Macaca mulatta: one gene and its partner. The protein of the gene in region 2 interacts with the protein of the main gene of each other region in a biochemical or structural test. Links are inferred from orthologs where the notes say so. Each region holds a gene or a part of one and is shown on either strand. Other genes may lie near its edges.

Evidence for each region. The genes of interacting proteins can lie anywhere in the genome.
Region 1: the proteins of SQSTM1 (region 2) and NBR1 form a complex in vitro, tested with the Homo sapiens proteins (3 studies listed by BioGRID). The link is inferred for Macaca mulatta from reciprocal best matches to the Homo sapiens genes SQSTM1 and NBR1.

The regions. Positions count from the first base shown.
Region 1 is NC_133421.1:67,535,873-67,540,857, forward strand, and holds part of NBR1 (next to BRCA1 gene 1 protein), read left to right. Parts: intron 1-2,493; coding exon 2,494-2,929; intron 2,930-4,031; coding exon 4,032-4,126; intron 4,127-4,948; coding exon 4,949-4,985. UniProt on the Homo sapiens protein: Ubiquitin-binding autophagy adapter that participates in different processes including host defense or intracellular homeostasis.
Region 2 is NC_133411.1:188,838,922-188,843,906, forward strand, and holds part of SQSTM1 (sequestosome-1), read left to right. Parts: intron 1-3,152; coding exon 3,153-3,364; intron 3,365-3,703; coding exon 3,704-3,899; intron 3,900-4,812; coding exon 4,813-4,970; 3' UTR 4,971-4,985. UniProt on the Homo sapiens protein: Molecular adapter required for selective macroautophagy (aggrephagy) by acting as a bridge between polyubiquitinated proteins and autophagosomes.

The DNA.
Region 1 (4,985 bases), on a different chromosome or scaffold from region 2:
ACTAAAAATACAAAAAATTAGCCGGGCGTGGTGGCTACATGCCAGGGATTACATGCCTGTAATCCCAGGTACTCGGGAGGCTGAGGCAGGAGAATCACTTTAACCCGGGAGGCAAAGGCTGTGGTTAGCTGAGATTGTGCAGTTGTACTCCAGCCTGGGCAACAAGAGTGAAACTCCATCTCAAAAAAAAAGAAAAAGGAATAAATACCTTTATAACAGAAACTTCTGGGTATCAAATAGAACCAATAGCATATATTTTAAGAAGTATCCAAAAATTCAAATAATACTGTGTCAAAATAATATTGGAGAATCTCTTTATCTATTATAATGAAATTTGACCTATATCTTTAAATATTATTTATCTTACTTTTGTTTAAAATACACATGTAAGGCCAGGCGCAGTGGCTCACGCCTGTAATCCCAGCACTTTGGGAGGCTGAGTTGGGCAGATCACGAGCTCAGGAGTTCAAGACCAGCCTGACCAACAGGGTGAAACCCCATCTCTACTAAAAGTACAAAAATTAGCTGGGCGTGGTGGCGTGTACCTGTGATCCAGCTACTCAAGAGGCTGAGGCAGGAGAATTGTTTGAACCTGGGAAGCAGAGGTTGCAGTGAACCGAGATTGCGCCACTGCACTCCAGCCTGGGTGACAGAGCGAGACTCCATCTAAAAAAATTATAATAAGACAGTGGCTCATGCCTGTAATCCCAGCACTTTGGGAGGCTGAGGTGGGTGGATCACAAGGTCCGGAGATCGAGACCATCCTAGCACAGTGAAACCCCTACTCTACTAAAAATACAAAAAATAAGCCAGGCATGGTGGCAGGTGCCTGTAGTCCCACCTAATCAGGAGGCTGAGGCAGGAGAATGGCGTGAACGCGGGAGGCGCAGCTTACATTGAACCAAGATCAAGCCATTGCACTTCAGCCTGGGCAACAGAGTGAGACTGTCTCAAATTAATCAGTCAATCAAGCAATCAATCAATTGTGCATATCTTTATATGTTTTTCCACATGTGTGTACAAATACATAACAAAATGGTCTGGAAACACAATACCAAAATATTCACAGCTGTTATTCTGATAGGATTTATGGGTATTTTTTTTTTTTTTTTTGAGACGGAGTCTCGCTCTGCCGCCCAGGCTGGAGTGCAGTGGCCGGATCTCAGCTCACTGCAAGCTCCGCCTCCTGGGTTCACGCCATTCTCCTGCCTCAGCCTCCTGAGTAGCTGGGACTACAGGCGCCTGCCACCGCGCCCGGCTAGTTTTTTTGTATTTTTTTAGTAGAGACGGGGTTTCACCGTGTTAGCCAGGATGGTCTCGATCTCCTGACCTCGTGATCCGCCCGTCTCGGCCTCCCAAAGTGCTGGGATTACAGGCTTGAGCCACCGCGCCCGGCCTTTTTTTTTTTTTTTTTTTTTGAGATAAAGTCTCACTCTCACCCAGGCTGAAGTGCGGGTAGCAAGTTTATGGCTCATTACAGCCACAACATTCTGGGCTCCCCCCACCTCAGTTTCCCAAGCAACTGGGACCACAGCCACATGCCACCACACTGAGCTAAATTTTTTTTTTTGTAAAGATGGGATTTCGCCACGTTGCCCAGGCTGGTCCCGAACTCCTGAGCTCAAGCAGTCTGCCCACCTTGGCCTCCCCAGGTGCTGGAATTTTAGGCGTAAGCCACCACACCTGGCCTGGATAGCTTTTTTTTTTTTTTTTTTGAGATAGAGTCTCTCTGTCACCCAGGCTAGAGTGCAGCGTTGCAATCTCGGCTGACTACAACCTCCACTTCCCAGGTTCATGCCATCCCCCTGCCTCAGCCAGCCGAGTAGCTGGGACTACAGGTGCCTGCCACCACACCCGGCTAATTTTTTTGTATTTTTAGTAGAGATGGGATTTCAACATGTTAGCCAGGATGGCCTTGATCTTCCAACCTTGTGATCCGCCCACCTCGGCCTCCCAAAGTGCTGGGATTACAAGCATGAGCCACCGCGCCCAGCCCCTGGGTAGCTTTTTTATACCCTTTCTTACCCCCTCAAACATGATTGGCCAGTTTTCTCCCATGATTGCATCATCTTTGTAAAGAAGAGGAGGAGAATAGGCATGTAATCCTGCAATACTAGTCTCCTAACTTTTTCTCTTTTTATAGCATTGTTAGTGTATCCATTTTGGTTTAAACTCTACCTCAGTGTATTAACCATCACATGAAAAGGAAAAGGGAAGGGATGGAGCTGCCTCCTTTTGTGATTCATAGAACTTTTTGGAAGCCTGGGTGTTTCTGCCTACCTTGTTTCTGTGAGCTTTGATTCTATTTTGTTTTGCATAGTCTTCAACCTTAGAATGTGGTCATAGTTCCAGAACCAGCCCTTCTCGCTAGTTCTTCCCTCTCCTCTGGCTTTCATAATTCTATCTCATGATCCACAAGGCTTTACCAAGTAAGGATAGTACTTAGGCCTGCTTTTAGCTTCCACCTTAAAATTGGTTGCTTTCATCCTTTAGTGAAATTTGCCTTGCCTGAGGAAGGACCACTTGGAGATGAGAGGGAGGAGATTGTCCATATCACTGAGGAAGAAGCTGTCATGGAGGAGGAGGAGGAAGAGGAGGAGGAGGAGGAGCTCAAAGATGAAGTTCAGAGTCAGTCCTCTGCTTCCTCAGAGGATTACATCATCATCCTGCCTGAGTGCTTTGATACCAGCCGCCCCCTGGGGGATTCCATGTACAGCTCTGCACTCTCACAGCCAGGCCTGGAGCGAGGTGCTGAAGGCGAGCCTGGGGTTGAGGCTGGGCAGGAACCAGCTGAGGCTGGGGAGAGACTTCCTGGAGGGGAGAACCAGCCACAGGAGCACAGCATAAGTGACATCCTCACGTCCTCACAGACTCTGGAAACAGTGCCCCTAATCCCAGAGGTAGTGGAGCTTCCACCGCCACTGCCCAGGTACCACTCACAGCCGCCTCAGCTGGGGTGTTCTTCAGAGGTGAAATAAAGAGTGAGAGGAACCGACCTGATCTCAAAAACCTGTTTTTTCCTCAGTATGGGAAGAGACTATTTTCCATAGTAAAGTCTGAATTTAGATGAATAAAGGTTGTATTTCCCAGTATTTGTGGATTCTGGATTTAAAGAAATATTTGTTTTAGTTGGCCTTAAATTATCTGAGTATAGTCTGTCTGCTTATATTTTGATTACTGAGAGCTGGTTTTGTTTTTTGTTTGTTTTTTTGTTGTTGTTGTTGTTGTTGTTGTTTTTGAGACAGGGTCTCACTGTTGCCCAGACTGGAGTTCTGTGGCACAATCTTGGCTCACTGCCACCTCTGCCTCTGAGGCTCAAGCAATCCTCCCACCTCAGCCCCCTGAGTAGCTGGGACTGTAGGCATGGGCCATGATACCCAGCTGATTTTTGTATTTATTGTAGAAGTGGGGTTTTGCCATGCGCCCAGGCTGGTCGTGAACTCCAGCCTCAAGCAATCCACCCGCCTGGGTCTCCCAAAATGCTGGGATTACAGATGTGAGCCACTGTGCCTGGCTGAGAGCCAGTTTGTAAACACAAACATCCCTGGACCTTCCCTCCTTGTTTTATTGACTCTTCAGTAAAGGCAGCAAAAACTCTACCCAAACAGCCATAATTAGGAAGTTAAATCCATTATGGGAAAAAACACTAAAAAACCAAACAAATTGTTTTCAATTCCCTGGTGAATCTATCTGAATCATTCTTATCCTAATAGTAGGGAAAATGCTGGAGCCTTGCCTATAATGTAAACCATTCTCCCCAAAAGCTAGACATTTCCATTTATTGACACCACTTGATGTAGGTAGGGACATGAACAGACTGAAGCCAACATTTCTAGCTTGGCTGTGGCTAAAGAGGAAAACGGGGTACAATGTAGCCCTTATGACGGAACGCTAAATCCAGACATGTGATTTAGATCAGAAATGTGAAGCCTCTGTAGAGAATTTGGCACTGCTGTGCTGTGTTTACTATTTCTCCACTAATGCCATAAGTGTCTTTTCAATTTACTTTCCATATTGTGTCTTTCTGAAAGGAGCCCTCCTTGTGTACATCATCATGGTTCCCCAGGAGTGGATTTACCAGTTACCGTATCAGAAGTTTCTTCAGTCCCTGATCAGATCAGAGGAGGTAATGATCAGCCTAAGCTTTTTCTCTTTTTCTCTGTTCCTGTCTAATGGAAACCAGGTATAAATAGCCTCTCTGTCTTCGTGATTCTTGGCGGTTTTTAGAAACTTGCCCTTCACAGGCTGAGCATGGTGGCTCACACCTGTAATCCCAACACTTTGGGAGACCAAGGTAGGCAGATCACAAGGTCAGGAGTTTGAGACCAGCCTGGCCAACATAGTGAAACCCTGTCTCTACTAAAAAATAGCAAAAATTAGCCGGGCATGGTTGTGGGTGCCTGTAATCCCCGCTACTTGGAGGCGGAGGTTGGAGTGAGCCGAGATCGCACCATTGCTCTAGCCCAGGCAACAATGCGAGATTCCATCAAAAAACAAAAAGAAAAAACAACTTGCCCTTCACTCTCCATGATCCTCCTGCATACTTGATAATTTCTATTCTCTGGTTGAATATATTGTTAGACCTCACAGAGGCAGTGGAAAGAACACAGGCTTTGTGCCAAACTAATCTAAGTTCCAGCTCTATCTCCACCTTTCCTGACTAGCAGTTCAGCAGGTTTCTAATGGCTGTGAGTCTGTTTTCTTACTACAAAATATATCAGTGCATTGGGATTATAGAGTTGATTTTTCTGATTCAATAAACAGTCATCTTGCATTGCATTTCTGGACAGTTTCTCCTTATCACTTAAACTACCCTTAAAACTTCCCAAATACTTAAAAAAAAAAAAAAAAGACTTCAAACACTGATCTGATTGCCACCTGCCTCAGTAATAGCCTTGCTTGAGTTAGGAAACACTAGGTGCTTATGGATGCTACATCTAACCAATAGCTCTTTTGCTTTTAGAGCCCAGAGGCTCATCAGGACT
Region 2 (4,985 bases):
ACTCGGGAGGCTGAGGTTGGGGATGGCTTGAGCCTGGGAGGCAGAGGGTGCAACAAGCCTAGATTGTACCACTGCACTCCATCCTGGGCAACAGAACAGACCTTGTCTCAAAACAAAAAAACAACAGAAAACAACAAAAAAAATGCAAGATAGTTTCTTGGCAATGAGGACCTTATCTTCTAGATTGAAAGCGGCCCTGACAATGACTGAGAAAGACCCCACAGCAAAGCTTATCGCTGTCCAGCGTCAGAACCCTGAGGATAAAGAGGGGCTTCTAAAATTTTAGGTTATTGTAAATACTTGGGAATACAAAGAGCAAACAATCATGAAAAGCTAGGAGACAGTGGAACAACTGATGACTCAAAAAAATCAGTTAAAGCTGGGCGTGGTGGCTCAAGCCTGTAATCCCAGCACTTTGGGAGGCCAAGACGGGCGGATCACGAGGTCAGGAGATCGAGACCATCCTGGCTAACACGGTGAAACCCCGTCTCTACTAAAAAATACAAAAAAACTAGCCAGGCCTAGTGGCGGGCGTCTGTAGTCCCAGCTACTCGGGAGGCTGAGGCAGGAGAATGGCGGGAACCCGGGAGGCGGAGCTTGCAGTGAGCTGAGATCCGGCCACTGCACTCCAGCCTGGGCGACAGAGTGAGACTCCGTGTCAAAAAAAAAAAAAAAAATCAGTTAAAAAGGCTTTTCAGCCTAGAATTCTCTTGTTTGTGAAACGGTCCGTCAACTGGGTTGGAGTGCAATGGTACAGCTGTCTTGATCTCGTGGGCTCAAGTGATCCTTCTGCTTCAGCCTCCCAAGTAGCTGGAACTACAGGCATGTGCCACTGTACCTAGATTTTTTTTTTCTTTTTTCTTTTTTTTTTTTTTTTTTCCCCCCCCCAAGTCGGAGTCTTGCTGTCGCCCAGGCTGGAGTGCAGTGACGTGATTTCAGCTCACTGCAATTTCCACCTCCTGGGTTCAAGCAGTTTTCTGCCTCAGCCTCCCGAGTAGCTGGGATGACAGGCATCCGCCGCCACACCTGGCTAATTTTTATATTTTCAGTAAAGACGGGGTTTCACCATCTTGGCCAGGCTGGTCTTGAACTCCTGACCTCATGATCCACCTGCCTTGGCCTCCCAAAGTGCTGGGATTACAGGCGTGAGCCACCACGCCCAGCCCTGTGCCCAGCTGTTTTAAAAACATTTTGTAGAGATGGGGTCTTGCCATGCTGCCCAGGCCGACTTTGAACTCCTGGGCTCAAGAGATCTCCCACGTTGTTCTCCCAAAGTGTTAGGATTATGTGCGTGAGCCACTGTGCCTGGTCCAGCCTAGAGTTCTATAACCATCTAAAACAATCAAGTATCAGGGCAGAACAAAGTTACTTTCTGGTGTACAGTCTTAATTATTTTAACCTTGGTTTGAACCACATGGAGAGATAAACCCGAAATGAAGCACAGAGCTATTAGGAAACAGGGGACCTAATAGGACAGAGGGTGAAAGTAAAGGTGGTCACAGCAGTGCAGCAGAGCCTCTGCCCAGAGAGCCGCCAGTCCTGGCTGGAACAGGAGGCTGCACAGCCGGGGACACTCTCTATGGAAAACACCAGAACCAGTGGGGCCTCGGATCCACTTCACCCTCTGAGCAATAGTCTGTAGTTTGTAGAAAACTATGGAGATGCTGTGGGGAGAACATGGGGAAAGTCAGCAAATGAAAAGAGAAGGCAGGTTGGGTGCGGTGGCTCATGTCGGTAATCCCAGCATGTTGGGGGGCGGATCACCTGAGGTCAGGAGTTCAAGACCAGCCTGGCCAACATGGTGAAACCCCGTCTCTACAGTAAAAATATAAAAATTAGCTGGGCATGGTAGCACGTGCCTGTACTCCCAGCTACTCTGGAGGCTGAGGCAGGAGAATCACTTGTACCCGGTGGGCGGAGGTTGCGGTGAGCCGAGAGATTGCGCCACTGCACTCCAGCCTGGGCGTCAGAGCGAGACTCCGTCTAAAAAAAAAGAGAAGCCGTCATCAGTGGTAGGAAAACAAAAAGCTATGCAAGGAAATAGTCTGCCCCTTGACCCAGCAAAGAACATTTAGATAGAGGTACTAGCTGAAACACTGAATGTTCTTTTAACAAAAAACTGAGTCTTGGAAAGGGTAGTGGAAGGAGAGGCAGATACCGGTCTAGAGTAGGAAGTGCACAGGTGTGAACTCGATCATCAGGTGGGAGCAGCATGCACAGGTGTGAACTCGATCATCAGGTGGGAGCAGCATGCACAGGTGTGAACTCGATCATCAGGTGGGAGCAGCATGCACAGGTGTGAACTCGATCATCAGGTGGGAGCAGCATGAGCTGAAAGGGTGCAGGGAGGCTTTGGGGAGTGGGATGGGAGCAGTGTGTGCACCACAGCCTTTGACAACCGGTGACTCTAAGCTGTGGGCATGGAGACTTTTGACACTATTTAATTTCAGAATAGTGCAGGTGATTCTTTCCTCTGTCCTTGGTGAGTTACGTGAGCCTGGAGGTGTGCAGGCTCCCTGCGCTGCCACGTCGGGCCCCATGCCTCGCCTGCATGGCCTGTCCACTCCGAGCGGAGCCCAGCGTTTAGGTGCGTGTTGTGTCATCACCCAAAGCCTCTGTGTGCAAGTGTCATGAGGCACACACAGCCTTCCATCACTGTGGCTGGAGGTGCCCGTCACATGCAGTGTTGGCTCCCCCGTACTTAGGGCTTGGCCCTACCTGCTGTGTAGCCCATACCCTGCATGGTTAGAAAAAACAAGGTCTCTCTTGACTTTCTGGCTTAGAAGCTGACCTTAGATGCTAGCTGAGGTTAATGTTTTACTGAATTGGAGAAAGAGAAAGCTCCAGTATCGCGGGCACACCGAGAATGTTTCCAGAAGCCACAGAGATTTGTAGCTGGGATATTGGGAGAAGCCTCGGACTCACACGTTTGCATCGTCTAGTCCCATACTGACTGTGTGATTCCGGGGTCAAGCTGGGTAGGAGAACCTAGCCCCTGCATCCACACACTGAGTGCCGCCATCCAGACCCTCACCTGCTTGTGTGGACTGAACGTGAGATCGTGAGTCTGTAGTCCCCACAGGCCACACTCCTGCTCGCAGCTGCCTCCTTGGGGGAGCGTCACAGCTTTCTCTCTCCTCCTCGGCCTCTAGGCATTGAAGTGGATATTGACGTGGAGCACGGCGGGAAAAGAAGCCGCCTGACCCCTGCCTCTCCAGAGAGTTCCAGCACAGAGAAGAACAGCTCACAGCCAAGCAGCTGCTGCTCTGACCCCAGCAAGCCGGGTGGGAATGTTGAGGGCGCCACGCAGTCTCTGGCAGAGCAGATGAGAAAGATCGCCTTGGAGTCCGAGGGGCGGCCTGAGGCAAGCCTGTGCCCCTCCCACCACCTGGGACTTCGGGCAGCCTAGCGATTTGTAGCTGCACCTCCACCTCATCCTCAGCACCTATGCAGCCACTTATGAAACCTGAGGGAGCTGCTGCTGCTGCAGTGATGTCTGTGCCATTAAAGTCACTCTGGGAACCTGCTAGAACTTTGTAGTTACTTGGTCTTTGTGAGTGGCTCACTGATCCCCGTAGCCCCCTGCAGCCTTAAACACATGTGTGCGTGCACGCTCCCCGACTGTTTGCCAGGAGTCAGTGCCATGGTCAGGCTTGGCCTGTTGCGCGTGTCTCTTGTGTGCTCATGGTGAGTTCTGTTCCAGGAGCAGATGGAGTCTGATAACTGCTCAGGAGGAGACGATGACTGGACCCATTTGTCTTCAAAAGAAGTGGACCCGTCCACAGGTGAACTCCAGTCCCTACAGATGCCAGAATCCGAAGGGCCAAGCTCTCTGGACCCCTCCCAGGAGGGACCCACAGGGCTGAAGGAAGCTGCCTTGTACCCGCATCTCCCACCAGGCAAGTGAACCAAGAGTTCTGTGTTCAGTCCTACCTTTCCCTTCAGAGCATCCTGCCCCCCGATTCCAGCGACACAAACAGGATGGGACGTTCTCCACTGCAGGGCTTGTCTGTAGGTGTGGGAGGTTAGGAGTTGGTTTTGTCCTCTTACGTCTACCCTGAGCAGCAGTGAGTAAGCTCTGCTAATGCAGGAGTTCTAAAAATGTTTTTCTTTAAGCAAACTCCAGAGCCAGGAATATTAATTGTAGGAGTTTCTAAAACTTAACATGCAGACCAGGAATTAAGGTAGGTGTGACGCAGAGAGGGGGCAGCACTGGGTGTGTCCCTACTACTCACACTGGGCTCAGACCTCTTCAGTGTCTCCTCAGGGAGTGCTGGTCTGAGTGGGGGTCATAGCCAAGATCCCTGGAAGAGCCAGGCAGAAGCCACCGTTGAAGTGGATGGTGTGGAAGGCAGCGGTGGGGGGTGGGGACAGCTGACAGAGACTCCTCATTGTCACTGCAGCCGTGTGTAAACCAAGGTCTGTGCACAACCTGCTGTGCGCCGCCAGTGTGTCTTCTCTGCCTTAGGGCAGGGGATGGCGAGCTATGGCCTATGGGCCAAGAGTAGTTCTTGTATTTTTCAATCAAAAGATGTGACAGTTAGAGGAAATGCGTATTTCAGTGTCCAGCGATAGTTTTGTTTACATGCCACCTGGCTGCCTTGTGTCACAGTGGCAGAGTTGAACAGTGTGAAAAAGACTGGTTGGCCCTTTACAGGGAAAGCAGGTCCACTGTGGCCTGTGAGGGCCAGAGCTCTGGGCACTCGGACACTGGCAGGCCCTGGTCCCGCTGGCCAAGGCAGGAGGGTGTGTGTTTCGGGTCACTCACAGGGCTCAGCATCACTCCTCATGGCTTCCTTACTGTTTTGGCAGAGGCTGACCCGCGGCTGATTGAGTCCCTCTCCCAGATGCTGTCCATGGGCTTCTCTGACGAAGGCGGCTGGCTCACCAGGCTCCTGCAGACCAAGAATTACGACATCGGGGCGGCTCTGGACACCATCCAGTATTCAAAGCACTCCCCGCCATTGTGACCGCTTTTACCCACC